5 linked regions of the Macaca mulatta genome follow. The protein of the gene in region 4 interacts with the protein of the main gene of each other region in a pairwise test. Links are inferred from orthologs where the notes say so. Each region holds a gene or a part of one and is shown on either strand. Other genes may lie near its edges. The genes, in order: PLEKHG4, MYO9A, CDC42SE1, CDC42 and CDC42EP1.

What was found.
Region 1: the proteins of CDC42 (region 4) and PLEKHG4 interact in a two-hybrid assay, tested with the Homo sapiens proteins (2 studies listed by BioGRID and IntAct, with this or other methods). The link is inferred for Macaca mulatta from reciprocal best matches to the Homo sapiens genes CDC42 and PLEKHG4.
Region 2: the proteins of CDC42 (region 4) and MYO9A interact in a two-hybrid assay, tested with the Homo sapiens proteins (3 studies listed by BioGRID and IntAct). The link is inferred for Macaca mulatta from reciprocal best matches to the Homo sapiens genes CDC42 and MYO9A.
Region 3: the proteins of CDC42 (region 4) and CDC42SE1 interact in binary tests that used the Homo sapiens proteins (3 or more experiments, as listed by UniProt). The link is inferred for Macaca mulatta from reciprocal best matches to the Homo sapiens genes CDC42 and CDC42SE1.
Region 5: the proteins of CDC42 (region 4) and CDC42EP1 interact in binary tests that used the Homo sapiens proteins (3 or more experiments, as listed by UniProt). The link is inferred for Macaca mulatta from reciprocal best matches to the Homo sapiens genes CDC42 and CDC42EP1.

Annotation. Positions count from the first base shown.
Region 1 is NC_133425.1:62,820,155-62,826,229, reverse strand, and holds the start of PLEKHG4 (puratrophin-1), read right to left. Parts: upstream 3,845-6,075; 5' UTR 3,714-3,844; intron 3,345-3,713; exon of another isoform or gene 3,245-3,344; 5' UTR 3,195-3,244; intron 2,752-3,194; exon of another isoform or gene 2,660-2,751; intron 2,463-2,659; exon of another isoform or gene 2,061-2,462; 5' UTR 1,892-2,060; coding exon 1,390-1,891; intron 1,223-1,389; coding exon 1,127-1,222; intron 1,052-1,126; coding exon 928-1,051; intron 843-927; coding exon 749-842; intron 355-748; coding exon 277-354; intron 196-276; coding exon 82-195; intron 1-81. UniProt on the Homo sapiens protein: Possible role in intracellular signaling and cytoskeleton dynamics at the Golgi.
Region 2 is NC_133412.1:49,452,180-49,457,566, forward strand, and holds part of MYO9A (unconventional myosin-IXa), read right to left. Parts: intron 4,214-5,387; coding exon 4,071-4,213; intron 2,921-4,070; coding exon 2,457-2,920; 3' UTR 1-2,456. UniProt on the Homo sapiens protein: Myosins are actin-based motor molecules with ATPase activity. Unconventional myosins serve in intracellular movements. Regulates Rho by stimulating it's GTPase activity in neurons.
Region 3 is NC_133406.1:116,039,352-116,045,532, reverse strand, and holds the start of CDC42SE1 (CDC42 small effector protein 1), read right to left. Parts: upstream 4,091-6,181; 5' UTR 3,966-4,090; exon of another isoform or gene 3,753-3,965; intron 3,257-3,752; exon of another isoform or gene 3,034-3,256; intron 1,288-3,033; exon of another isoform or gene 1,152-1,287; intron 502-1,151; 5' UTR 240-501; coding exon 186-239; intron 1-185. UniProt on the Homo sapiens protein: Probably involved in the organization of the actin cytoskeleton by acting downstream of CDC42, inducing actin filament assembly. Alters CDC42-induced cell shape changes.
Region 4 is NC_133406.1:218,931,999-218,937,942, forward strand, and holds the start of CDC42 (cell division control protein 42 homolog), read right to left. Parts: upstream 3,672-5,944; 5' UTR 3,634-3,671; coding exon 3,529-3,633; intron 396-3,528; coding exon 323-395; intron 1-322. UniProt on the Homo sapiens protein: Plasma membrane-associated small GTPase which cycles between an active GTP-bound and an inactive GDP-bound state. In active state binds to a variety of effector proteins to regulate cellular responses. Involved in epithelial cell polarization processes.
Region 5 is NC_133415.1:13,982,526-13,988,524, forward strand, and holds the start of CDC42EP1 (cdc42 effector protein 1), read right to left. Parts: upstream 3,888-5,999; 5' UTR 3,744-3,887; intron 2,535-3,743; exon of another isoform or gene 2,430-2,534; intron 954-2,429; exon of another isoform or gene 781-953; intron 1-780. UniProt on the Homo sapiens protein: Probably involved in the organization of the actin cytoskeleton. Induced membrane extensions in fibroblasts.

The sequences.
Region 1 (6,075 bases), on a different chromosome or scaffold from region 4:
TGTTCAAGCCAGTCCAAGAGGCTCCTCTGCAATCCCAAGTTGCCTATATAACTGCCCCCACACCCCGCCCAGTATACTGACCCTCCGGAAATCCAGCCAGGCCCGGTGGCAGTAAGGCAGGCCTCCTCCTAGTGAAGTGGGCAGCCCCGCCGTTGGGATGTGGGTCAGCAGGCTTTGAGAGGGCAACTGCTCCAGCTACAGGAGAGGAAGGTGTTGTGACCCAGGCCTAGGGAGGAGGCACCCCGCCTCTACCCCTAGCCTAACTGGGCTTAGTACCTGCAGCCCGGAAGGCACTTCCTTCAGCAGCGTGCTTCCCACTAGCAGCACCTGGTACACGGCCCCTGGGGCTGCTTCCTGCAAGGAACCTGAGCTCAGCCCTATCCCCAACTCTACAGAAAAGGGCACAATGGCTCATGCCTGTAATTGTAGCAATCTGGGAGGCAAGGCAGGAGGATCACCTGAGTTCAGGAGTTCAAGATCAGCCTGGCCAACATGGTGAAACCCCCCTCTACTAAAAATACAAAAATTAGCTGGGCATGGTGGCAGGTGCCTGTAATCCCAGCTATTCGGGAGGCTGAGGCAGGAGAATCACATGAACCCGTGAGATAGAGTTTGCAGTGAGCCAAGATCGCACCACTGCACTCCAGCCTGGGCAACAGAGTGAGACTCCGTCAGAAAAGGAAAAGGAAAGGAAAGGAAAGAAAAGAAAAGAGAAAAGGAATGAGGGGAGCTACAATCCCGTACTCACTTGTAGTTGGCTGAGCCCAGAGAAGAGGGAAGAACTTGGGGAACAAATTCGGGCATCAACTAGCACTGTCAGTCCCAGTGCCTGTACTTCGGGCCTAAAGGGGTGAGCTTCAGTTCAGTACCTGACTCCCAGTCCTCACAGCTGGCTCAGGCTCAGTCTCCCAACCCCCACCCTCAAACCTGGGGATGCTTCGCAGGTACAGCAGGAGGCGGATGAGTTCCTGGCTGCTGCACTCAGGCTGAAGCCAGGCTGGGCTGTGGGCACACAGAAGCAGTACTGCCCGGCCTTGGACATCGCGAGTCCCTATGGGGAGGAAGCAGTGAACTCCTGCCCCATTGGGCCACTCCACCTCCACCGCCTCTAGGCCCTCCCAGCTACCTGGCAAGGTGGCCATACCACTGGCCAGCAGCTCCCAACAGAGGTCTTGGGCCAGGAGGCAGTCAGCAGGCTTAGGGAAGCTGGATCCACTGGGGGCTTGGGAAGGGAAATGACTTGGGTCTGCCTTGGGCCACCTATCCAGAGACCCCTCCTTGGATCCCGGCTTCAGCCTGAGTAGGGTCAGAGACCTCCAAGGTCTTGACACTCATTTCTCCAGGCATCCCTATTCCCTTCCCAGACTTCCCTAGCCCAGCCTTCCTTACCTGCCTCCAGCAGCTTTGATGATTTCTCTGATAAAGGGTCTCCAAGGCCCACAGGGTTGCTGTCCAATCCCCCAGGGCTCAAGCCAGATGGCATCACCCTGCTTGGACCTGGGTCCACTACCAACCCTACCCCTGGGGTGTCACCCTCACCCTGTGCCAAGTTGAGGTGGGAGGACATGGGGCATAGGAGGCTCTCCACTCCAGAGGGACCTGGCCCTTCTGACAGGACGGAGGAGCTTTCTACTTTGCCCCTGTGGGGATCCCCCGACTCATCTGCAGCCAGGAGTAACTGAAGCTTCCTGGACAAGGGGCTGCCCTGTAGCCCCTCATCCTGGGCGGCCCCGGTTGGTGGTCTTGGAGGACCCGGGTCCTTAACCTGCATCTGGGAAGCAGGTTCTTCCTCTTCCCAGGCATCCCTGAAACTGCACACAGCAAATCTCCAGTCGGTGGCATGGCCCTGGGAGTCTGGGGACTCATCCCCATCCTCCAGGGGCCTTTCCATCACGCCCTCCTAAAGGTGGGCCTGCTCCGGGCCAGTGGGAGAGGGCTGGGCCTCAGTGTGAACCAGGCTGAAGACAGTCGAGTGGGATTCAGTGGGCAATGCAGGCGAAAGGCATGGGCCGCAGAAGGTGCCAGTCTTAGTGCCAGGGCACAGGAACTGCAATTCAGGCCTGGGGAGAGGGAATAATGTTAGGGGCGTCCCTCTGTCCAGGTCCCCTGTCGGACGCCCGTGGGCCTCTGTTCCGTGCGCGCCCACCCTCAGCGTCCCCACGGCCACTCTCTGCAGGCCCATGCCCATGGGGGCGGCCCCGCCATGGCGCCACGCTGCCTCGTATTCGCTCTCCCGCCGGCCCCGCCGGGCCCTGGCCTCGTTGTGGGGCCTGGCGCGCGCCCCACGTCGCCCTCTGGCGACACTCACGCCCCCGGGCCGCTTCGCGGGGAACCGCGAAGCCGGAGAGCCTTCGAACAGACGGCGGCCTCGACGGCGAGTACAGCGTGCCCGCGCGGCGTCAGCGGGCACCGCCTCCTGGCCGCTAGGGAGGGAGGGCAGGGCCGCCGGGGCGCGGCGCCGCGCCGCGCCGCCCCCTGGGGGCCGGAGGACGGAGCCACAGCCCGCGCAGGTCTCGACGGGGCACAGCCCGGCCGGCGGGGAAGATGAGGTTCCGGCCCCCTCAGCAACCCCCGCTCGCCGCGGTCCTCTCCACGGGCCCGGACGGCCCGCCAGCCCCGCCCCGCCGCAACCCCGGGCCCCGCAGATCGCGCGCCCCACCCGCGGCGTCGCAGTGCGTGGGTCGGGGCAGCGACCAACGGCCGGCAGCACCACCGTGCCCACTTCCCGGGCCTGGCAAGGACGCCGGAAGCGCTGTCCCGCCACGAAGGCCGCGTGGGTGCGCAAGGGTGAGTGCGCGGCGGGGGGGGGGGGGCGGGGGGGGGCGGGGGGCAGTGGCGGGGAGAGCACTGCGGGATGGGGAGGGGTGGGGGCTCCCAGGGGCTTCCGCGGCTGAATGAGCAGACGGCAGACGGGAGGGGAAGGGCTTCTGTGTAGGGAAGCGGGACGCTGCCTCGGCGCGGGCACCCAGAGACAGGTCGCATGATCCCACGCGGGATGGGGCTGCCATCGGGGTGGGAGTGAGACCAATGGGTGGAACTGATCCAGGCCTGCCAGAGTCCCCCAGATCCACCACCCCTTTGCCATCCGTGGCACCCCCTTACCCCCTTCTCCACAAAGTCCAATGCAGGAGGCTGGTGCTGAGGTGGGGTCCTGGAGCCAGAGCACCCAGCCCAGGCCTGGCTTCTCCACTTACCTGCTGGGGGCTCTCCAGGAACTCTGCTCTTTGAGCCTCACCCTCCTCACCTGTAAAAATGGAAAGTCATTTTTCTCCTGGGGTTGCCATGAGTACTGGGGAAGACTCCCTATGTTATACGTCCACCTGCTGCCAGCACTCAGGCTGTGTTGGTGCCCTGCCCCCTCATTTCACCCTGACCACCCCCAGTCAGGGAATCCTGAACTGATGAAAGTCACTTGGGTAGCTGTGTGATTTAAGTTCCCTTTGGGGCATGTGGGCCTGGCCTGACACTCCCCAGAATTTGTGGGAAGATTGTGGGAAGGTCAGCTCTGTGACCAGGAGAAGACCTTGAGCCCCAAGGTGTGCCCAGGCCCATGGTCCCTGGGAAGAGGGGGCACCCGGTGCTACGGCTTCCCTGGCTCTAAGGCAGGCGCCTCTTTCACGAACGTGGGGATGACAACAGGCACAGTAGGACCAACAGCAGTCTCCCCACCCAGCCCAGCCCAGCCCCCAGAGTCCAGACTTTCAGGCAGCTACCGAGGAACCTTCATGAGCAGGTCTGGCTGCCAGAGGGGAGCCTTGGAGTTGTCCTGCTCTATCCCTAACTCCCAGCCAGACCTCTCTTCCCACCCTGCTGGCTTCAGAAAGCATCTTCCAACCTTGGCTTCTTCCCCGGTTCTGTCCCAGGGCCACCCCCACTGAGTCACTGCCTTCTGCTCCCTCCCTCCCCTTCTGCTGCCCACTGGCACCCACCAGCCAAGGCCCCCAGGAGCCCTAAGAGCTGGGAGGGACCTGCTGGCAGGCACACATACCCCTGTGAATGCCAGAGGCAAAGAAAAGCCTCAAGCCACAGGCTATAGCTGACCCTGGCACTCTGGGCACAGCAGGCAGATTCAGGGGAGGTACAGCCACACTGAGATAGAGGCAGGGCTAGGCCCTGGTTTCTCCACTCCACAGAGAATGTGCATTGTAAGCTTCACGGAAACAGAGACTGTATGTTATCCACTTCCGTCCTTCCAGCATCCGGCACAGGGCCTGGCACAGAATAAATGCTTTGGGGCGCTTGACCCTCATCACACTACCCCTGCCCTCCTGAGGCTCCACATCTATGTATCAGATGGAAACCAGAGTCACAAATGGAGACAGATTCAGAGACTCAGCCTGAAAGGAGACAGAAGAGGCAGAGAGCTACAGGTTGCATGGCCCCAGGATGGCAAAGGTACAGATAGAAATGAGGACACACTGAGGCCTAGTGGGGAATATTGGGGAGCTGGGCCTGAAGCCAGCCAGGGGTGGCTGACCACAGCAGGCTTTGTGGGCTGAGCTTGCAGGACTGAGCAGTGACTCATGGGGCCCATCTCTGTGGCTCTCCTGGCAGCAGAATCAACTCACAGCAGCCTTTTCCACTGAGATCATAAAATGGGAATGGGCCTCCCTCCCCTGACCCTTCCCCAACTCTCCCTCAGCCTCCCATTTCTTGCCGACGTGACTCAATCAAAAAATAAAATGGGCCGGGCACTGTGGCTCATGCCACAAAATCCCAGCACTTTGGGAGGCCAAGTCAGGGAGATCACCTAAGGTCGGGAGTTCCAGACTGGTTTGGCCAACATGGCAAAACCCTGTCTCTACTAAAAATACAAAAATTAGCCAGATGTGGTGGCGGGCTTCTGTAATCCCAGCTACTTGAGAGGCTGAGGCAAGAAAATCACATGAACCTGGGAGGCAGGGGTTGCAGTGAGCCAAGATCACGCCACTGCACTCCAGCCTGGGTGACAGAGCGATACTCTGTCTCATAAATAAATAAATAAAAAGGGAGGGGAGGGCTCTGGGCCTCACTGGGCCTAGTGACAACAGACCCATAGTCATTCGCCTTGCACACCCCTCTTCAGTACTACCCCAAATACTGAGGGCAACAAATACCCCAGAACTTCCAGACCTCACTTGCCTTTGACCTAAATAAACTCCAGACTCCTTGGTATGACAGTCAAGGCCACTTAGAAGCATCACAGCCTTCCCATCTACCTCCCAGACTGGCCTGGAAAACAAATCTGATCACTAGTCTAGTCTCACACTGGCTCCTCTTCTTGAAGGCCCATGCCCATCTCCCCTAATCAAAATCCTTCCTCCATTGAGGCCTGGGTGCAGCACCTCCTTCACGAAGCCTTCCCCAGCCAAGTTCTTTCAGCTCAAGCCACCCTGTCCAGTCACATGGCAATGACCCATGGATGAGCGCTTGATGCATTTGCTCTCCTGCATCCAAGACACCTGCCTACCTCCCCATCAAACCCACCATGCTCATCTGCCCCATGACTGCAACCTCTGCCTCCCAGGCTCAAGTGATTCTCCTGCCTCAGCCTCCGCAGTAGCTAGGATTACAGGCGCGTACCACCATGCCCAGCTAATTTTTGTATTTTCAGTAGAGATGGAGTTTTGGCATGTTGGCCAGGCTGATCTTAAACTCTTGACCTCAAGGGATCCACCCGCTTCGGCCTCCCAAAGTGCTGAGATTATAAGCATGAGCCACCACACCCAGCCTGACAAATAATGACATTTATGATCCCTTACCTTGAGCCAGGCTATCGGTAGATTCTTCCCATTAAATTTTATCATTTAATCCTGACAGCAGCCTTATGAAGTGAGTATGATTATCTCATTTGAGAGATGAGGACACTGAGGCTCAGAGAGAGCATGTAACACACCCAGAATGACACTGATGAGTGGCAGCTGGGGCTGTTGACTTGAAAGTGTTGACTACAGCTGGGTGTGGTGGCTCACACCTGTAATCCCAGCACTTTGGGAGGCGGAGGCGGGTGGATCACCTGAGGTCAGAAGTTTGAGACCAGCCTGGCCAACAATGGCAAAACCCTGTCTCTACTAAAAATACAAAAAATTAGCCAGG
Region 2 (5,387 bases), on a different chromosome or scaffold from region 4:
GCTTTCCCTCAAAGGGAGGGCCCCACACTGCTCTCCACTCTTACAATTTTGTGGATCTCTCCTCCTCACCCACCCACCCCAATCCTGGCAGATTAAATGTCTAGAAATCCACATAAATCTAGCAACTGAAAAAAACAAGTTTTTTCTTTTTTTCTTTTTTTAATTGAATTTTACCCAAATTGGAGTTTCAGGTCCCTGAGAAAAATTATAAAGTCTCTTAACATCCATCAGCTAGTTCCTATAAAGTGACTTACATCAGTCATTTTTTAACTGCCAAAAAACTTATTTTACCAAAAAAATCTCACAAAGATTTAGAAGGAAGAACATGTGCCAACATGTCTTCTCCTGGCCATTCCTCTGGGCCACAGGAAATTATCTGATAAGGGCAATCTCTTTTTTTTTTTAAATACAGGATTTAACCAACATTCTGGAGTAAGTGCAGAGTAACAATTAATGCCCAGCAGCACACTACTCCCCCAAGAACACTGAAACACAGACTGTGCAACCTGGCATGGGGCTAAGGAACCAGCAATCCCACTATGACACACCATGCTGAGGGGTTTTCCTCTGTCCTCTAGGAGATTCTCTGAAATTCAGATTTTTAAAAGCTTAACATTTAGTACTCCCCAGGACAAGACAAACAAGGTGGCAGATGTCTGTGGGATATAAAGCATAACATTTGCTCATTAACCATCATTATTCTGGAGATTTTAAAAGCTTCCTTTCTCTGGCTCAATTCTGAACCCAAAGCAGGGAGAGGTAAAACTCCTGCTACCTTTAGCTGCCACTCAGAATTATGCTCCAAGTCTAACCTCTGGGGCTGGCCAATAACCACTGAGGCAGTGGCATGAGGTTCAGTGTTGTGTAACAGGAGAGACTCTGCCTTAACAAAAGACTTAATATTTCCACAACTTCAAAGAAGTATGAAAAGGAAGAATAACCAAAATACAGGTTATAGATGGTAAAGGCTCTTTTTCAGAGCAGTGCATGTAGTAGCAAGACAAGATGCATTTAGTAACTTTAAAAATAAACATTTCACATACTTATCTCGAGAAAGGCTATCATGTTTCATTTTTCATATATTATAAATAGCAAAAACAGATTTCTATTCCCACAAATGCTAAGATACTTAAAATGTTATTACAACTCATGTGTATGAAGACCACCCAGTGGTGAAAATGATGTCTTACTATTCCCTCAACCCAGGGATGAATGGCTCTCATCCCCTTGTCCAGTGGCCCCTAATCTGTGGGAAGAAATTCCATGGGAAGGAGGGAAGCACAAGGTTAAAAAGAAATATGCCTACTATACATACATATTTACAATAAACTTCAGTAACCAGAATATTAACAAAAATAGCTTCAAGTAGTCCTTGATTTTTTTCCATCTATTTAATACTGATGGTCTGAGAAAAGGAAGATAAAAGTTAGATAGGTCATATTAAAAACCTTTTTATTTTTTGGCAGCTTTCTGTAACACTTATTCATGCAATATTGTATGTGAATATTTTTGGAGAACTAACTAAATGGTCACATTATTTGAGTCTGTGGTGGGAATCCACCAGCAGATGAACAGGCTCATATGTGGTTTTCGGTTTAATCTATACAAAGAGAAAAGCCTGAATGGCTTAGGATGGAACCTTCATAAGTTTAGGGATCACCATGTCTCTGGGAAACTAAAAATTAAAGTATAAGAATCTGATCCTAGGACCAGGAAATATGAGAACAGTATGGCTACTGACACTTCAGCCCATGCAATGTATTTGGCAGGAACTAAACAGGAGTCAAACCAGCACTGATTATTATGACATCAAACATCATCAAAAACAAAATAGGTATTCTCTTCTTCACCATATAACAAGATATCTGAGACACGCTCTGATGGCTTAATGGAAACAATCACTTTTTTTGCTTTCCCCAGAATATAACATGGAGTGTTTTTTCAGAAATCTTAAAATAGAGGGATTAGGCTTTTTGTTTATAAGTTTTTGGAAAAAAATTATATTCTACCCCAGCTCCTAACTATCCCAAAATAAACCCAAAGGCTTTTGCTTTCATAGTTAAGAAAGATTTATACGTTTTCTTCAAATGTCAGAAATGAGAGGGTCCCTCAGGTCAGCAATATCCCCCCTAGTTCAACACCCACCTTTGGGAAGGGAAAAGAGGGTGGGGGAGAGGCAACTATAACTGACCCAAATCCCCAGGCCCTAGGTGGCTTTGTTTAGTAAAATCTCAATTCAAATACAGCAGCCAAGGCACAGCTGGCACCATCCCCAGCAGGCTTTCTGCTTCTGCAGGAGGCCCAGGAATTCAGCACATACAGTCTTAGCCATATGCTTAGAAAAGAGGCAGGACCACAATTAGGATGGACTATTGTGGACAAGGTGATGAAACGCAGCCCCAAAGGTGAGATGTGTTTACCACTCTGTAGCCACGGAGGGACACACATCTGCCGGTTCAGACCATAAATTCATTATTTCCAAAGAGTGCTAGCTGTTGGTTGGAGGTGCAGTCTGGGTCCACAGTTTTTCTGCGGCCAGACATGACTGTTCCCTCTGGGGTCTCTTTGGTTTTCTGAGGTGAGTTTTTCACATTCTTTAATTTTTGTTTGCCCTTTTCTGGGTTGAAGGTTCCTCTGCTGATGAACTGAGGCCTGTCTTCCAGGGATTTGGTCTGGCCCAATGGTCCTTCCATTCCCAGGGCCTCATTAGCTGAGGCAGCTCGGTAGAATGGAGATTTGGAATAAATCTGAAATAGTTTTCTGGTCCCATGAGACGATGCCGTGTTAGACAGACATAAAGAGGAGACTGAAGAGTCCACTACATCTAAAGAGTCTTGCTGCTTTTTAAGCTGCTTTCGCAACTTGCTGGAAGGTTCAGACTTGCCAGCTGTCTTCAGGGAGCTAAGGGCTAAGCTTCTCTCTGAGGCAAAAAAGAGACCAAAGATGTAAATGACAGTGCCCTCTAAAGCAAATCATCATGTAATGAATAGGTGTCACTGTTCACACATGAAATTGGGTGGGATAAGATTTGGAGGTTCCAGGCTGACTTACTATGGGCACAGTCATAGTCAAAGAGAGCTCACCATCCATTTCTCTATATAGCAGTTCAGAATCATCCTCAAGGAAATCTGGTGTTTGACTATGCCACCAGTGGAGGCCTAGAACAGTCACTATCATATTAAAAACTGCCGGGATATGTAGATAAGTTCTACATCTCCCTGAGACATGCCACCCAGTTAAACACCTCCTTTGTATATGTATATAGTCCCACCTCACAGTGGGGCACAATTCCTGCCACGCTCAGAAAATGGGTCATGGGTCAGTAAGACAACATATATTGTGATTATTGGCTTTTCTCTGTGGTAAGTACAGGATAAAACATTAAATTACCAAACAAAACAAAACAAAACAAAACAAACAAACAAAACTCAATCACACTAAAGAGTTGGTTTGATAAACAATGTATGTGGAAGCTTTACAAAGACAACAGGAAAAAAAAGACCTTCCATGGAAGTCAGGAATCTAAGTAGCAAAGACAATTACATTTCTTATCCCCATCCAGATAGTGATAAGGACCTGTATGCCAAACGATGAAGGCTAAAACTATATGGATAAAAGGACAAAATTGGCCGGGCGCGGTGGCTCAAGCCTGTAATCCCAGCACTTTGGGAGGCCGAGATGGGTGGATCACGAGGTCAGGAGATCAAGACCATCCTGGCTAACACAGTGAAACCCCGTCTCTACTAAAAAATACAAAAAAACTAGCCGGGCGAGGTGGCGGGCGCCTGTAGTCCCAGCTACTCTGGAGGCTGAGGCAGGAGAATGGCCTGAACCCGGGAGGCGGAGCTTGCAGTGAGCTGAGATCCGGCCACTGCACTCCAGCAAGGGGGACAGAGTGAGACTCCGTCTCAAAAAAAAAAAAAAAAAAAAAAAAGGACAAAATTCCTCAGGACTTTGTTACTGCTGATGTATGGTCAGTGCATTCTTGAAAGACTTTGTCTTGGTTTCGGAATCTTTATTCCTCCTTTGCAAAACAAATCTGGCGTCTTTGGTCTACCATGTTCACTTACCTGATTTCTCAGAGATAGCACATTCAGACTCCATATTCAAATTTTCTGAGCTATCAGCAGTCCCAATGGAGGCCTCAGACTCAAGAGTTTCATCATCAGAGGCACGGGGTTCCAGTACAAGCATCTCAAATGTCAGCTCTTCCCTGTAAGATACAATCAAGAAACCATTAGCATATTTGATAGGAAGTGGAAGGAAGATAACAGAAAAAAAGATCCTCCATGAAAGTCAGGAATCTAAGAAGCAAAGAGAGTCCATTTTTACTGTCCCCATCCAGGTGGTGATGCCAAATATGGTGAACGCTAAAACTATATGGACTAAAGGATAAAATCATAGTCAATCTAGGACCAATAACAGGGGTAAGAGTAGGGTGAAGATGCTGTCGTGGTGAGATCTTTCAGTAAAATGAACTCTGGACTGATAATCAGGAGATCAGGGCTCTAACCTTGTTCATAATATCCATAATGCATCAGGAAAGTACCTTTCTCTCTCTGGACCTCAGCTTCCTACCACAAAACAAAGAGATTAAATTAGATAACCTCTAAGATTCCTTCCAGCTCCTAAACTATTTTCCATGAAGCTTACTAACTAGCTGTGGACTATATCCTCTACCTTCACCACAGAGACCTCTAGATGAAGAAAAACACTGATTGATCTTTTCTGTCCTTTGAAGCTTATGCCATCTTTAGTTATCGCATTCTCTAGTCTTCCTTCTTCATCAGTCACCCAGCTGCCTCTCAGTAATGCCCCACATTCCGTGATGTCTTTGGTACTCAGCTCCTAACCTTGCTTTCTCACTAATGCTTGACATCACCTGATCTATTCAATTAATATCTTTGTAAAAATTCATCTCAATATCCTAACACTGAAGTTCTTTTATGTCTGCAACTTCTAACAATATTTTCCTCCACTTTTGCTAAGCTACTTTCTCCAATGGGCAGATGCTGGAGCTTGTCATTACCTGAATACACCAACTGTGAATCCAATATTCTGCCCTGTTCACAACCTCCTTATCCTTCCAATTCTTACTCACCTTCTAATCAAGTCTCTTCCCTAACAGAGCCCCTTACCTTTACTTCCACTTTACCTAGCTTGAGATCCATGAACAATCATTTCAAGAATAGTATCACCAGTATTACAATTGTCTGAGGTCATGTGCATTCTGAGACTGTGCTCGTTCTTCTTTCTTTTTCTAGGGACTCTCCCCTTACTTGAAAATTCCTATGAATCCTTCAAGACCGCTAACATCATCTGCATCAAAGCCGAATTGGGTCTTCTTTTCAGATCACTCTTCTAGCAAATAGCCCCTGGTCAATGTA
Region 3 (6,181 bases), about 100 Mb from region 4:
ATTCACTTCTTCCATCACCCAATGCCCTTTATTCCACATATACAGCTGCTTGACTATAGACGCTCCTGACACAGAGGGAGGCAAGAAGTGTGCTTTTTAGATGGCAGATCCTAGATGGTGTGGCCACCTCACAGCACATGGTAATTGACTGCTCTTTGGGTTAGGATGGGGGTGGGGAGACTCACCGGCTGGGGTTTCTCTACCACACAGCAGCCCAGTTTGTGCCAAAATTCACTCATGTTCCCTGATGGTTCCAGCTTCACTCCTCTGTCTGAGGCCCCAAAGGGCTCTTGCTCTGGTATTTGGACAACCCACTCCTCACTCTCCCCAGATATAACAACACCCTGGGTTCACTCAGCTGGATGGGTCCAGAGAAAGTAGAATCCCTGGAACCCTTAACTGAGCAGTGAAGGTCAGTGTCTCAGAGCCTGAAGATGAACAGGACCAGAGAGAGAGGTGGGCAGGCAGGCACAAGGTTATGTCTTCCTCAGACTCGGAACCCTGGATTAGAAGAAAGTAAAAAGAAAGATCAGTGAGAAATCTCCCCCTCCCCCAATCCTTGAGAAACCTCCTGATGAGCCTATATCTTCTCAGTCCTCCCTGAGAGGCCCGAGACCTGTACACCAACACTCGTTCCCAAACACTACAAACCTCAGTTTGACTCTTAAGATAAAGGAACAGAACCAAAAGGCCACCAAGGGGTTAAGGAGCAGTGGCTGGTGGTACCAAGGGAGAGGAAGGGGGCTAGAAGCACTTAGAGTTAAAAGGATGGGCGAGGACCAAAGGACAGTGGCAGAAATTAGCAAAGTTTGGGGTGCTAGAAGCTCCAGCTCCCTTCTCTCTGAGTTTAGGGCAGAAGGGGAGGGGCATTTAAGTGACTCTGAAGAGGAAATAGTGGTTTTTTGTTCTCACAAACAAGGTCTCCACCCTGTCCCTGCGTTTTTTCTTACCTTGCCCTGAATGCTAGAGTTTCTTTAAGAACAGGGGAGCCCTGGACCACTGAGGTCCTAGGAGACTAACTGACAGGTTGGCCCTCAGGAAAGACTTTCTACAATGAGAAATGTTTTCCCCCTCTGCTGCGCTGTTCCTCCTGATTTCCCTCCAGTGAAATCCAATCCCTCCCAGAAGCCAGTTAGCAGTTCCTTTATTACCTGACCTTGAGATCCTTCCTGAAGGCTGTGTACATTCTGTTTATCTGTGTCCTGTATCACTGCACTCCTGTGTGTACACCTCTGTTTGCACATGTGTGGCATGGCCATATCTCCACGTGTGTCCAATACAGATCATCTGTGTACAGGTTGTGGGTACATGTGCCAGGTATCTTCTGTCCCATGAGGAATATTTTCCCCACCGTCCACATGTCCTATCTGCCACTCTGCTCTGCCTCACACTCTATAGGGCCCAGGCTCCCCTCCAGCTGTGACCTGTTCTCCCCTCCCTCCTCACCAATTCCATCCTCAAGCTTCGTCAGTCAACCAGACACAAGGAACTTTCCAATAGTACTAGTGTCCAGGGAAGAACTTCCTCCCTTCTCACTACTGCCAGCCAGGGTAGGACACATCTGGGTTTCTTCTTAGACTCACTTGCATTTCCCCAGTCCTATAGTACAGACAACCTCAAAGATTCCAAAAAGGGGAGTTTCATAAATACGACACTTTAACATGAACAGGAATCTCCCTTTCTTCCAGGCCAGGAACACTGATGCTTTGGCACCCCAGACTGATTTAAAAACAAGAGATAGGCCGGGCGTGGTGGCTCACGCCTATAATCCCAGCACTTTGGGAGGCCAAGGCGGGCGGATCACCTGAGGTCAGGAGTTTGAGACCAGCATGGCCAACATGGTGAAACCTCATCTCTGCTAAAAATATAAAAGATTAGCTGGGTGTGGTGGCGCATGCATGTAATCCCAGCTACTTGGGAGGCTGAGGCAGGAGAATTGCTTGAACCCGAGGTTGCAGTGAGCCAAGATCATGCCATTGCACTCCAGCCTGGGCAACAACAGCGAAACTCCACCTCAAAAAAACAAAACAAAACAAAAAAACAAGATAGCAGGGTGTAGTAGCATGCGCCTGTCATCCCAGGTACTGGGGAGGCTGAGGCAGGAGGATCACTTGAGCCCAAGAGTTGGAGGCTACAGTGAGCCATGTTTGCACCACTGCACTCCAGCCTGGGTGACAGGGCAAGACCCTGTCTCAAATACAAAAAAAAAAACCACAACAACACACATACACACATAAAGAGAGGTTTTTTAACAGCCTTGAGATGAGATCACACAAACACTCAAATGCAGCGTCTAGGGGAAGGGAGAACCCAGGAGGCTAGGCTTTCTCTTACTTCCCTTCTCACCACTGGAAGGGAGGAGTAACCAGAAGGAACGGAAGCTAAAACACAGCTGTCCAGAGAGGAGAGCTGTGGTCAGTGGGACGTCAGTGAGTCAGTCATAGGGTTTATCCTGATGGTGGTGGTGGCAGGTGGTAAGGGTTGGGGGAAAATGAAGAATTAGAAGAAACCCCCAACACCAGCAGGCAGGCTGTACTGTGACTGGACTCTCCCTCAACATCTCCTGCCCTGCTCAAAGCTGAGGGACAGAGGTGGATAGTGCTGGGAGCGAAGAGGAGAAGAGAGGGGGAGGAGGAGAGAGGGAAAGGGGCAGTGCAGAGAACAAGGCCATTTCTGTTTCTTTTCCAGGGACCTGACCAGAGCTGGGTGGAGGGAAAGTGTGTGTGTGGGACTTGGCATGAAATGACCAATGATGACGAGATGTGACCAGGAAATTCCATTCCCTAGGACATTAGGGTCTCTGAAACTTGAGGGTGGGGTCAGAGTGTAAAGACAGGTCAGGGTGAATGTGATGGTAGCGCAGGGAAGGGGGGATGGGAACAAAGCCAAAAAAAGGAAGTAAGAGCCACTGGCGGCCACTCTTCTTTAAAGCAGCCAGAAGAGAGTGGGTTGAGGAAAAATGAAGTCCTGAGCTGGTCAGCCCAGGCGGAAGAGCCACCGAATCCAACCCCACAGTGGGTAGGGAAGGGGCTGAGAAATCAACAGGAGGGATGAGGATTAGACTGCATAAGGCCACGTCCTTGGTGCTCAGAACTCGGCCTCTCTGAGTTCCAAATGGCAAGAGTGAAATATGGAACCGGGAAAGCCACCCCCCACCCCCACCAAGATCACACTAGGACTTGAGGGTCTCAAAGCTGTTGGGAGGTGAGCAGAAGGGTTAGGAAAGAGGTGCCAGGGAGGAAGGATGTACAGGCTAGTTCTCTGGTCCCATTCGGGCCCCAAACCGGTTCACCCGGTCCCACCGCCTCTGGCCCTAAGGCCTCCAACCCGCGGCCTGACAAGCCCTCACATGAAGCAGCTGGAGAGAAAGAAAGAATCGAGAGAATGGAATGGGCAATTCTGGCTAGAAGCCCGGGGCAGCAGCTGGTCCCTGTGTGCAGACCCCTAGACATGGAGGGCTGCGGAGGGGCTCTGGAGAAGTGGAGTGGACTCCATATTTCAGCCAAGTGACAGGCCCAGCCCCAACCTTCCCCTTCCCCAGGAAAGGTCTTCTGGGGGCTTAAGAGGAAAGAGGGCTAGGCCCTAAGCCTCCCCTCCCCAAATATATTCAATCACTCAGATTCCATATCTGTCTCCCCCTACTACCCAACTCTACCCAGAAGTTCTCTGCTCTTCCCAACCCTTAACCGGATTGGGACCTCCCTGGGAATCTTTCGGACCCTCTCCTTCCCACCCCCACCCGAACATTCCAGTTCCTTCTTTTCCTTCTACTCTTCAGCGGCCTCAGCCTGCGCACCCCAGGAGGGTGGATGAGGACGGCCACCCCGGGCGCGCACCCCGTTCCCAACGCCCCAGCATCTCTGCAGCCCAAGACATCCGCCTTCCCCACACCCCGCATCCGGTGTGTCTCCGCCTGGCCCTGCCGGCGCGGCGGGCGGGCTGGGGGACCAACTGCACGGCCTCACCTGCTCTTCTCCGGTATCCAGACGTTCAGCTACAGCTGGCGGGGGTGAGGGGCTCTGCTCCGTGGCCGCCAGTGTGGGCTTCCCGGGCTAGCTCTGCGGCCCGGTGGGGGAGCCCAGGACGAGCCGGCAGAGGTGGGGCCGGCTGAGGGCGGAAGCGGCGGCGACGCGATTACGAAACCCGTCCGGCTAGGAGCCGAGCGCACAGCTCCCCTCTGGACTGCGGAGGCACTGCACTGTGCGAGGCGTGGGAGGGTGCCTCTGCAGCCCCCCAAGGCCGCCGCCCCTGAGGGGAGAACTGGAGAATGCGGACACGTAGATGAGGGCCTGGTACCCAAGCTGGGGCCCCTGAAATCTCAAGTTCCCTTTGCGCGCCAGGCATTTCGGGGCAAAACGAAGCGGAGCCCCCCAAACCCCGAGACCTAACCAAGTTCAGAGATTCGCAGAAGCACGCCCCCCCACCCCAAATCTCTTCTGTGCTCTACCCAAAATGGAATAGGACTAGGTTTATTTACCCATTGTGAGGGTAGAGAGGCGAGTCGGGAGGATCAGGGATTGGGAGAACGGGTGGAAAAATATGATTCTTAAAAATACCTTGTAACCTGAAGTCCTTAAATTGTAGAAGAGAGGAACACTACTTTCCATTGTAGTCTAGAGTTAAGATTTCAAGTCCATAAATTAGAGGACCTAAAATTAGAGGGCAATTAACTGCTCATTCATTGCGCCCCTAGTCAGCACGGGGATGCTGGAGGAGATCGGGAATAATAGCGCAGACCAATGAGCCTACGGAGACGCTTTAATCGTCTCTTTCCCTCAAGTGTTCTGGAACCTATCATTTGAATTAGCCGAGTCAGGCAGGAGGGGGCGGGGAAATCCTTCCGCCCTTCTTAGGAGGGGCTGCATTGCAGGGGGAGAGCTAACTGACAGACTCAGTCACTGAAGAGGGAAAAGGAGTGAGAAGACAAAGCCGTCAAAGCCCCAACAGCTTTGTATTTCTCCAGCCCGGCACAGATCCCGGAGCCCCCGAGGCACTCCCTCCATCTTTGGAACACGCCAGTAATTGATTGATAACAGGTAAACCAAACTGAGGGAGGGGGGCAGGGGGCTGCAAAGATAGAAGAGCGGCTGCTTATGGTTAGATTGAAAGACCCCACATAAGGTGGGGGACAGCTGAAGAGGAGAGAAGGGGGCGCTATGAACAATGGGTAGTTATTTCTTCACAGCATCCATGCCTTGTTACCTTGTACAGACCATTAATTTCTAACAATTTACATGTAGTTATTTCTCAGCACCTACCTCCTTATTTCAGATATCCTTTTCTGTAATTTATTGTCCTGTGTATTTAATATATTCAGTCTACTTCCTTTTCAAACCATAATTTGTTCTACCAGCTATTTGATGAATCTTTAGTCCTACTGTATCTCTCTGCCCTCTACTTCCCTATACTTGCAATTTTTTTCCGTAGTGTTCTATGTTTCTCTGTAGGAGGGAGTTTGGGAGGGGGTTATATGGGATAATGTTCAGTGTAATCCTGACCTTTCTTTGGACCATCTCTTTCACTCCACCTCAAATCTTTGCTCCAAAGAAAGAGGCAGCCTGGGGTAGGAAAGGTGGGGGCCTCTGTGTTGGAGAACTGCCTGATTCCATAGTGAAATCAGTATAGCCCACAGGAGCTAGCTATGGGGACAGATTCTGGAAAAGAATGATTATTTGCAGCTCAGTGGAATTGGTGGGGGAATGCTAATAGGAAAATCCAAGTTCTGACTGAGGCACACATTATGAGATGCCAGAGAGCTTCCACTCCCCTCTACCACCACCACCACCTTGTCTTTCCCCATTCCCCATGGTGGCAGCATGACACAGCAAGGCCCTGTTGAGTAGGCCTTGGATGCCCACAAAGGGTCTGGACAAAGGATATTTGGGTGTGTCTGTGTGCCTCCGAGAGAGATGTATCTTTCTAATCTATATATTTGCTAATCATGTATATCTAAGAACAGAGTGATAATTAGAAATTGCCTTTACCTAAAATACCTGGATAATTTAAAATGAAGGTTAGTGGGAAGCATTTATTGAACATATGTTGTGGTACAAGGCACTGTCGAAACCCTTTAAGTAAATGATACCGTTTAACATAATGATAGATGTAAAGATAGATGAAGTAGGGGTGGAGAGCATTTGTGGAGGGGAAGGGGAAGCTAGCCAAAAAAGGAACCTTTTGC
Region 4 (5,944 bases):
CCAACCACTAATACAGTCCCCAATTCTCTGCAAGGTGCACACATCTGGATTTTAGTTCAGTTTGAGCTTGTATAATGCACTGTAGTCTCACTCTACTTCATCTACTACACTGTTCACCCAGGGTACTCCAAACTCCTATTTGCCAATCCAGGTCTGGGACTGCTCCTTGGTCAAGCATCAACGATCATTATATTCAATCCTGCTAACTAATAACAAAAGGCAAGTACTCTGCTCATGTGCTAGTTTCTCAAAATATCCACAAGAGACAAACAACTAGCAACTGTTAAAAATCAAAACAGTATAAAAGACATTAAGTTTTCACCTGCAGTATCAAAAAGTCCAAGAGTATATGGTTCTCCACCAATCATAACTGTGACTGCATAGTTGTCAAAAACCTAAAAACAAAAAAAATACAACACTGTTAGTGTGCAAGGAGAGAGCTAAAATGGGACAGAACAACTCTTAAGCTAAGGCAGTGTTTCCTTGCTAAGACTTAATCGTCCCTTAGTTCATTCATCATCCTTATATAACCAATCTTGCCAACCAAGTACCTTGTGTGAGCTAAATGGTTCCTGGAAAAAGACAAAGGATGTGTTCTGAGATTTCTGCTCTACCACAGCAGCCTGGATAAAGAGCCAGAGAAGGCTTAGAGGTGTCACAGGAGCAGAGTCCTCTAGCTACACAAAATGAACCTGTTCAAGTCTGAAACTTTTGAGACAGTGGTCTACCTCAACATTCAATCTGATTCCTAAGAAATTATTTCTTCATAGACCATTTTCTTTTCATCTAGAAATAAAATCTCCTAGATCCATGACCTTTCTTCCTTTCAGAGTCCTAGAAAAGATAAGCCTTGTTACAAACAAGCCCATTTGAGAGAAATAACGGTTCCCTCAAAGTACTCAAAGTGTCCAAGAAAAGGCTGACAGATTATTTGCTGGGATTTTTTTTTTTTTTTTTTTTTTTTTGAGACAGAGTCTCCCAGGCTGGAGTGCAATGGCATGGTCTCAGCTCACTGCAACCTGCCTCCCGGGATCAAGCGATTCTCCACCTCAGCCTCCTGAGTAGCTGGGACTACAGGTGCATGCCACCACACCCAGTTAATTTTTGTATTTTTAGAGAAAATTTTAGAGACGGGGTTTCACTATGTTGGCCAGGCTGGTCTCAAATTCCTGACCTCATGATCTGCCTGCCTCAGCCTCCCAAAGTCCTGGCATTACAGGTGTGAGCCACTGCGACTGGCCAGCTGGGAATTTTGTGAGTAAAATTCATGTTATTGGGCACAAACTGCATGATGTGAGACATCTTCTGTAACAAGATGCTTAATATGTAAATAGACCATAAAACCCTTATCAAATTCAGTACAGCATATACTAATATTGGTTGTACTAAGTTATGTGTGAAAATGGGAGGTTTAACAATGCTAAATGGGAAAAGACCCAACACAAATTCTGGAGTCTTTAGAATTAATTTACAATAGAAAAGCAATGCTTTCATATACAACTATAATCTGTCAATTTACAATAAAAATTTAAAAATTAAATGATATATATAAAAAGAAAAGCAAAGCTTTCCAACTAGGAGAAGAATGCCACATTTTAAGACCAGCCCTACTTAACCTTTGGGTACCTACTCTGATTTTCTGATTTATGTTTTAACAGACTGCTCAAGAGCTTATTTAAATGTAAAGAAGAAGAGAAGCAAGGGCCTGAGGGAGATGACAAAGGAAAGTTCGTTCTTAAAAACAAGAACAAAGAAATCGAATGAATGTGATTAAGCTCTCAAACCAAACACATAACTTTCTTAAATCGCACTTAAGAGACTCAAAAACAACCCTCCTTTACTGGATTGTTCATATCCAAAACCAGACTAAGAATCAGAAAAGCTGGCTTCCATTCCAAAGTCTACTTTCCCTAGTGTAATTACACTAAGTAATTAAAGTCAGACTTCTAAGTCTCATCCCTAAATTGGGCCTGAGTACTCTCATCCATAAGCGATGGATAAGACAGTATGTATTGTCCCATTCAACTCTGAATTTCTATTACTCTAGAAACGGCAAGCTCCAATTTATAGATGGGAACTAAAATGCATTTTACACCAAATCCATTTCCATACTAACTTCAACAGGTACCATGAGAACATTATTTGTGCCTCATGGTCCATTCATTTACCTAAATCGGCTCATTTAAAATTTTATTCTACTACTCTTCCTTCCACCCTATCACTTTTCCAGAGATGTACACACAAACATACATATAAAAAACCCACAAGCCCACTTAAAATACAACACCAGAAGATCAAAGTCATAAAAGACTCAGAAATTATGTTTACAAGTTAAACAACTTCAATGGAAACTAAAACAGAAAAACTCTGATAGCTGTCCTCACTCTGAAACAAGATTCATATACCTCTAAACGTCCCCTGTAAGTCCACTGAACCTCACAACATCTTCCATTTATCTTGTCTCCAAATGGGCCAATTCAAAATATCAATGTGATTTTAGTGTTTAATAATACCTTCAAATTCTCCCCCCTTCAAAATAAACAACTTTACTTATTTTTGAGACAGCGTCTCACTACCTTTCACAAATGAGTGTTACTCTAACTCTTGTCTCTCTCTCTCTCACTTCAATATCTTTGTTATTCCCACCTTCCTTCTCCCATTCCAAAGAGCTGATTTAAAAAACAGCTGTGGGGTCGGGCATGGTGGTTCACGCCTGTAATCCCAGCACTCTGGGAGGTCGAGGCGGGTGGATCATTTGAGGTCAGGAGTTCGAGACCAGCCTGGCCAACATGGTGAAACCCTGTTTCTACTAAAAATACAAAAATTAGCTGGGCGTGGTGGCGGGCACCTGTAATCCCAGCTACTCAGAAGGCTGAGGCAGGAGAATTGCCTGAACCCAGGAAGCGGAGGGTGCAGCAAGCCGAGATCGCACTACTGCACTCCAGATAGAAGGGGCGATAGAGACTCCGTCTCCAAAAAAAAAAAAAAAAAGGTTGTGGGGGGTGACCCCCAAAGGTTTCTGTTGGTATTCTCATAACATAACAGGTCTTCTCTTCTCTGCCCCTAACAACCAGTTTGGAGCTCCATTACTGCTAAGAGAATAGTTCCACAAGAAAAGTGGAGACACATACAACTTTCTCTCAAGTTACAGGACCCCAAATGGTATCCCAGGAGACCTCCAAGTACTGTTCAATAACTGGCCAAAATATCCAAAAAAAAAAGTCACCTCATTCCAAGATGTAGGGCATACTTCACCAAATTGAGATCACCACTCGTTAGAATCTTGTCTACTGGAGTTTTGCCTCCCAGCACTTCTTGTAAACCCTTGTGTCACCCCTTCTGACTTTCCACTGATTTTTCAGCTGTTTAATTTTAAAGTGTATATAATTTACCCATGAGAAGTCAAGATCTTTAAAAACAGGAAACAAAGGCAGAAAACAGAAAAAAATTCAGTACACACAGAGAAAGAATTTTCAAAAGGGTATCAAATTTTACATTTTACTAACAGAAAGAAGCCTTTATACTTACAGTTGGTACATATTCCGATGGAAATTTGTTTGTTGTGTAGGATATCAGGAGACATGTTTTACCAACAGCACCATCGCCCACAACAACACACTTAATTGTCTGCATTGCTGAAATAGTTTTGTATCCACTTTAAATATTTCAAATCTGATGTTGACCTGCAAAAAGATTAAAGACATGTTTGTTTATGCTTATATATGTATTTTTTTTTCCTCACTTAGCAACAGGTTAAGGCACTCAGAGCAAGAAAAGAACTAGCACAATTATTATGGCTAAAAGAACCCAATAAGAGAAACAATGACTTGCTATAAGTTACAATAACAAATAAGGTTCATTTCTAAGTTTCTGATCCCTGGCTGTTTCAACTTCTTAAGTGTTATTTCAGAAGGTCCCAACTGGTGTGATAAACAGCAAATTTATTTTTATAATGAAAAAGAAGAGACTGTATCAGAGAAAATTCCACATACTGTACTAAATATTATTTTGTGAAAGCTTTTCTTCGGTTACACGTGCACACACACCTGTATGTATGCATGTATGTGAACTAGACTGCAATACAAAGGCCACCGCTTTAAAGAATGGTTCATTATCCAGCCTTACTCAGCCTTACTCAGGCTCTGACCAACAAGCAGTAGAGCCTCACACGAATTATATGAGTAACGTGAGGAACTGAACAAAGAACAGGGTGATCGCTGGCCTCAGCAGCTGTTTTAGCACCAGAATGCCTAGTCCAAAACCTACATTTTTATAATGAAAAGTCAGACTGCTCTAAAGCATACTGACTTATAAACAGATACTACAGCTTCTCTTATTCGAGTTCTCCTCAATTTTAAGAAGTTATCAATTACAAGTACCAAAGAGTCATTAATTTGAGAAACTTTTTTTCATTTAAACATCTCTAAAGTCAGAATGTATCTTTATTGAGTCTCTTACAATCATTATCAGCCATTTTTCCCCCACATTTTGACTTCTATGAAATTGGAATCTTAGATTCAATGAAATACTTTAACAGTTTTCTGAAAGAATAAAAAGAAATACCACCCAATATATACCTAAATTTTAAGATTTATTTATATGTAAATTAATTTAAATTATAATCCTAAAAGGGTTTAATTAAACATAAAAATACAGAACCACCTAACTCTTGGTCAGATGCCACCATGCTCCTATAGCACCATTCACAACAATTAATCATAACAATTTATAAACGCCTATTAACATCCCTGTAAATGAACCTATAGTACCTCAAGCACCACTATACTTCTAGCACTGAGCACTTCTAGACTGGCACACTGCGAGTTGTTGAAAGGATGCAAAAATCAAGAACACGAAATTACACTAGTGTGAGTAACCTACAGGAAATACACACTCTCCCGTTCCTCATCAAAATTATCTGCAGTATATTTTTCTTTTTTTAAACAGGGTTTTACTCCCATACCCTAAGCTGGAGTGCAGTGGCACAACCTCAGCTCACTGCAACCTCCACCTCCCAGACTCAAGCAATCCTCCCACCTTGGCCTCCCAAGTAGCTGGAACCACAGACACATGCCACCATGCCTGGCTGGGTTTTTGTTTTGTATTGGTTTTGGTTTGGGTTTTTTTAAGAGATGGGGTCTCACTGTTACCCAGGCTGGTCTTGAATTCCTTGGCTCAAGCAATCCACTCGCCTTGGCCTCCCAAAGTCCCAAAGTGCTGGGATTACATGCATGAGCCACTGCAGCCAGCCATATTTATCTTTCTTTATTCAACTTCCTTTTATATCTCTTTTTTCCTTCTCCTTTCCCTTTTATGCACTAAGAAGCACCCATACTAATACAGCATTAAAGGTTAACAACCCTCATCCCTAAGATCAATTACTGGTTAAATCTAAAAGCACTCTCAAATAATAGTAAGCAGCAAACACTTATACAGCATTTACTAAGTGCCATGTACTGTTCAAAACATGTTACACATATTCACACATTTCATCCTCCCAAAAAGCCTATGATGTGCTATATTATCCCTATTTTACAAGCAAGAAGAGTGAAGCTCAGCAAGTAAGCAAGCCAAGGCTATTCAGCCAGTAAGTGGTAGAACTGTAATTTAAACCCAAGCAGTCTGACTCTCAAGTCCCTGCTTGTTTTTTGTTTTGTTTTTGCGTGTGTGTGTGTGTGTGTGTGTGTGAGTGACAGAGAGAGAGAGACTCTCATTCTATCGCCCAAGCTGGAGGGCAGTAAGACAGAGAGACAGAGACAGAGACAGAGAGAGAGAGAGAGAGAGAGAGAGAGAGAGAGAGAGAGAGAGACTCACTCTATGGCCCAGGCTGGAGTGCAGTGGCGTGATCTCTGCTCACTGGAATCTCTGCCTCCCGGGTTCAAGCGATTCTCCTGCCTCAGCCTCCAGGGCAGCTGGGATTACAGGCGCCCGCCACCACAACTGG
Region 5 (5,999 bases), on a different chromosome or scaffold from region 4:
TGAGTAGCTGGGACTACAGGCGCATACCACCACGTTCAGCTAAGTTTTTCCACTTTTTGTAAGGACAGGGTCTCACTCCATTGCCCAGGTTGGTCTCAAATTCCTGAACTCAAGCCATCCTGCTGCCTCAGCCTGCCAAAGTGCTGGGATTACAGGTGTGAACCACCACACCTGGCCTCCCTGACTTCTTGAGGCAGCACCTCTTCTCCCAGCAAAAGGGGCTCCTCCCCCCTGAACCCCCATGGCCACTTTTGACTTGGGGCACCAGCTTCCTCCCCAATCTTGTGATGATCCCATCTTTCAAATGTTTCTGGGCACCCCCCAATAGTACCCATCCCCCACGCCACCCTGCCTACTGCAGTATAGAGACTCTGCAGGCCTGTGGAGCTGAGGGCAGGGTACTGGGACCTGCCTCCCCATGTGGAAAACGGGAACAGCACACCAGACAGTTCCCCTCCCAGGGGAGTTGCAAGGGTAGAAAATGTAATGAAACCCTCAGATGCTGGATAGAGCAGGGCAGCTATGGGTTCAAATCTGACACCTTTACACTAACATCTCTCATTACAGGGACCCCTGGTGGCAGCCACGTGACACTTGCTGCCAACCACAGGGCACTGCTGGCCATCAGGTGTGCCTCACCTGGCACTAGGAGTAAGCACGGCTCCAAGTGTCTTGGTGCCAGGCTCACCTCCCCTCACCTGCCCAGGAATACCACCCGTTAGTATTGAGAACACCCCTTTTACAGATGGAAAAAACAAAACTTAGAAAGGAGACATTTACCCTCAATCACAGGCCAGCATCGCTGATAAATGCCCCAGGGTGGGGGTGAAGACGATGGGGAATGGGGAAGAGGATTTGGAGGGCTTGGATGCCCAGTGCTGAGCACGGTGTGGGGTGCAGGTGCAGGCCTGGGAAGACAGGAGACCAAGCTCTGCAGATTCAGCGTCTGTGACCTGGGCAAGGAGGTCATCACACAGCTTCAGTGTCCCTGGAGTCCTTATATTTACCCTATAGAGGATAGTCAGGGCCTGGGCGCATGGCCTGAGCTCACTCAATGGTGGGAATGACGCAAGAACAAGTTTTGGAGCCAGGATCCGGCCAACAGGGGCCGCTGTGGAGGCACATGTGGTCGCGGGGAGGCCAAGGGCCGCTCTGAAGGAGAGCGGGGACGGCTGCAGCCTGGCATTCACCTGGGGGTCACCCGCAGGCCGCAGTGCTGGCCAGGGGCCCACGTCTCATCCTGGAGGTCACTGCTCGGGTGCACACAGCCCCCTTCCTGCGGGCATCCAGCTGGGTGATGCCCCCGCCCTCTACCGCTGGACAGCGGGTCCCTGTCTTGGTTACGGCAGCTCCCCCAAACTTGCTCTGGTCCCTGGGTTAAGGGGTTAACCCGGGCGGCTGGCTTCTCCTTCCCCTCAAAGTCCAGACGCTTCAAGGTGGAGAGACGGGGAAACAGGCCAGAACGGGGTAGCTAGTTGTTCTCAGTCGCGCTAGGGGACCCGGTCCTCCGTATTCCAAGGGGGGCACCGTGGGCCATTGGGGAGCGACGGGAAAAGTGGAAAGGAGACGCGCTTCGTGCCCACCGCCCCGAGTTAGAGCCAAATCAGCCGTGGACCAGGCGAGGAGGAGCGGCTGCGAGCTGCGTCTCGGGTTCCCGCGCCACGTTTCGTGTCGCTGCGGCCTCCCGGCCAGTCCTCTCTCCTCTCTAAGCCTCAGTTTCCCGGTTTAGGAAAGGGGCTTCGAATCTTGCGGGTCTGGCACGGCTGGGGCAAAGGCAGAACAATCTGGAGGGCGACCGGGATTGGAAGTCCGGGAAAAACTTCGACCACCCAACGTTCCCTGGGGGGACGCGGGAGCCTGGGGCTCAGGACGCGGAGGGTCGCTCCGCGGGGGAAGGGGACGGCCAGCTGTCTTGGCCAGAGGGGAACCGGACGGGATGACCTCATCCGCGGCTCCAGCCTGGAATGCGGCGGTCGGGGAGGGGGCAGGGTGCCTGTCCATCTCCCCGGGTCCCCCACCCCCCACTTCCCGCTCTCCGCGTGGGCCTCGGCGGAGGGGATACATTCCGCCGCGTCGCCCGCTCCCGGCCCCTGCCCTTCCTTCCCCCGCGCAGGAAGGCGCGGAGACAGCCCTCGCTCTGTCCCTCGGCTCGCCTCCTCCTCACGCAGTTTGGCCGCTGAGTTTCGTCCGATCCTCTGCCCCCTCCGCCCGCCCGGAATGGGACACGAAGCCCGAAAGTTCGGAGTTTCCCCGCGCGGCTCCTCGGCCGCGCCCGGCCTTCCCGTGGGCACCCGGGGGCGCCTCTCCCGGGCGGGTCCGGTCCCCCTCCCGGCCCCGAGAGCCTAGGAGGGTGCAGAGCCCTCGCAGGCGCCCGGACTCGCCGGCCTCCACGGACTCCGCCCCGAGGACCCGCGCGCCCCAGCTGTTACCTGGCTTCGCGAGCCCCGGGGACGCGGGACTAGGGTGGACTAGTTCTGCAGCGGCGGCGGCCGCGCGTCCCGGCTGGCAGCCCGGGAGAGTTGCTGGGCCGGTCTGCGCCGCCCTGGCCGCGGGCTCAGCGGGCTGGATCCGGGGGCGGGGGCGGGGTGTGGGCGCTCCCGCCTCCCGCCCCTCTCCTCCCGCCAGCGGGCGGGGCCCGGCCCCCTCCCCGGCCCCCTCCTCGGCACCGTCCTCGCCGCCGCCGAGAGCTGGCGGGGACGCGACTGGGGGGCCAGGCCAGGCCTCTCTCCTCGCCACCCCGGCCAGGGTCAGATGAGGAACGTGCGGGCTGCCCCGGGGAGGCGACTCCGGTCCCCGGCCGCCAACCCCTCCTCCACCGGTTCCCCGCGTGGCCTTAGGGCGTCCAGGCCTGATGAACTCGCCTCCCTCCTGGGCCCTCCAGCAGCGCCCTGCGGGAGTTTGGGGAATCGGGAAGCTCGATCTGAGGCCCTGAATGCCTGGGCCTTTAAACTTTGATGTTTACAAGCATGACATGCCCACTCCTTTCCTCCGGATTCTCTTTCCCTTCCACCCGGTACAGGCCTCGCGGTGCCCAGGAGGAAGACAGCCACACTGGGGCGACGGGTAGAGTCAAGGCCGGGACCCTGGAGCCGGACAGCCTGGGCTCCTGTCCTGCCTCAGTCACTACTTACCTTTCTCTGCCTCAGTTTCCTGATCTGAAAGTGGGATAGATAATAGCAGCATCAGATGTTGTGTCAAGTGTCCCGTGCTCCAAGAGCACCTAGGAGGCTTGCTTGGCAGGTAAATGAGGTCGCATCTCAGAGACTTTACAGATCCCGCCCCCCCACCTCCATGGGGGGGGGGGGCAAGGAATCAGCCATACCCGGGACCCTGTGCCATCATCAAGGAGGGGAGATAGATTCTGGCCCCCGCCTCCTGTTGTCGTGCCCTCCTCTGACTACTCTCCTCTGACTATAGAGTCCTCGGGCTGTCAGGGCACAGGGAGGTCCCTAACACTGCCTGAGGTCCTGGGGCCTCAGGAAAGCTTCCTAGAGGAGATGATACCGGAGTTGTCTTTTTTTTTTTTTTTTTTTTTTGGCGGAGTCTCGCTCTGTTGCTCAGGCTGGAGTGCCTTGGCACAATCTCGGCTCACTGCAGCTTCCACCTCCCCGGTTCAAGCGATTCTCCCTCAGCCTCCAGACTAGCTGGGATTACAGGCACCCGCCCACGCCCGACTAATTTTTGTATTTTTTAGTAGAGAGGGGGTTTCGCCATGTTGGCCAGGCTGGTCTTGAATTCCTTACCTCAGGTGATCCGCCTGCCTCGGCCTCCCCAAGTGCTGGGATTATGGGTGTGAGCCACTGCGCGGTTGTGAGTTAAGTCTTAAAGGACGTGTAGGCAGAGGGAAGGGCAATGGAAATGCATCGTGCACAGCTGGCAGGGGGACAGCACAGCAAAGGCTGGGAGCGGAGGACCCGGCAGCGGAGGCAAACCTGGTTGGAGGAGACTGGCTGAGCGCTGTTGTGGCAGGGGACGAGGAGCCGTATTTACCCACAGGTGGAGGAGACAAGGTCTTTACTGTTCACCCAGGGGCTAGGCCTCTTCCACGGGCTCCCTGAATCCCCATGCTGGCCGCCAAGGGAAGGAGCTATTCCTGCAGCTGGACAAATGAGGAAACGGAGGCACAAAGCATTCTAGCATTTGCTCAAGTGGCACAGCAGTAGGAACTCTTTCCCGGGGGGCTGGCCCAGGAGCATTTTGTCCCATGGAGAATTGAAACAGCATCGGGACAGTGAGCCAGCAGGCAGCACTGGCAGGTGTAGATTTAGAAGACTGACTGTTGGCAGGCTGGTTGCTCACGCCGGTAATCCCAGCACTTTGGGAGGCCAAGGTGGGCAGATTACTTGAGGCTGGGAGTTTGAGACCAGCCTGACCAATACGCTAAAACTCCGTCTTGACTGAAAATACAAACATTAGCCAGGCGTGGTGGCAGGTGCCTGTAATCCCAGCTACTCGGGAGGCTGAGGCAGGGAGAATTGCTTGAACCCGGGAGGCAGAGGTTGCAGTGAGCTGAGATCGCACCACGGCACTGCAGCCTGGTCAACAGAGCGAGATTCCGTCTTAAAAAATAAAAATAAAAAAGTGCCAGTTGCGGTGGCTCACGCCTGTAATCCCAGCACTTTGGGAGGCTGAGGCGGGCGGATTACTTGAGGTCAGGAGTTCATGACCAGCCTGGCCAACATGGTGAAACCATGTCACTACTAAAAATACCAAATATTAGCCAAGCATAGTGGTGGGCGCCTGTAATCCCAGCTATTCAGGAGGCTGAGGCAGGAGAATTGCTTGAACTTGGGAGATGGAGGTTGCAGTAAACTGAGATCATGCTACTGCACTCCAGCCTGGGCGACAGAGCGAGACTCTGTCTCAAAAAAACAAAAAACAAAACAGAAGTCTGACTGTGAGTGAAGAATGGACTGGAAGGACAGTGATGGAAGCAAATAACTAGTGATGCTGTGGTTGTTACTATTAATTGCATCAGCAGTAACCAGCACTTAATGAGCACCTGATGCATACCAAGTCCTGTAGCTCCTTAACAAGCATTATGACATTTAATTCTTGTGAGAGCCCCATGGGGAAAGTCCTGCCATGGTGTCCCGTTTGCAGATAAGTGAAGTGATTTGCGTAAAACCCCCTACTTTGACAGGATGGCCATACTTTCCAGTTTGCCTAGGACAGCCCAGATTACACATACTGTTCCAGCGTAATTATTAATAGCACTTCCTTTCATTCTCAAAGGTGACCTGTTTAGACAATCAATTACACGTCACTCTAGTCAGAGGATCCCTAGAGCGGTGGTAAAGGAGGCAGTTTGGTGCAATGTCAAAGGCCCTGAGCTCAAATCCCGGCCTAGTGGCTGACCGTGGGCAAAGCACTTGGCCCATGTGAACCTCAAGTTTCTCATCTCTGAAATGGGTATAATAGCAGTGTGGGTATTTACTAGTTGGGTGTTGTGAGCCCCAGGCAGATGACCGAGCAAGCAGTCCTGATGGAAGTGGCTACAACCTGCCCCATGCTTGCTCCATCTTCTTCACCCGTGGGCAGGGAGGGCCGGCAGGAAAGAAAAAGTGGTTGAGAACCTCCCTACTATATGCCACATGCTTTGTCTTCTCCAGCTCATTGACAGGAAACCTGTGAATCAGGAATTCTTGCCCCCTTTTACATCTGGGTAAGCTAAGGCAGAGAGGAGCCCTCTCCCTCCTTTGCAGCCTGTCTCCAGATAGAAATCTATCTCCATGTAGGCTGTGCCCTCGTTCCTGGCTCCACTCCTGATTTAAGGATCTGACTCACGTTTTCCCTCTGGAAAACGGGAGAAAGGGAGAAGTTTCAATATCCCCAGGAAGGATCCAGGGTTGAGTAGTCTCCCTTTCTCATGCTTTTCTCCTCCTCCAATTTCCTGCAGTCCCCTTACTTCCCTTTGAGAGGCTGTGCCCAGGAGTGCAGGGGTTAACCTCGGCAGGACTGTAATCACCATGCAGAATGCAGAACAAATGCCTCCCAGC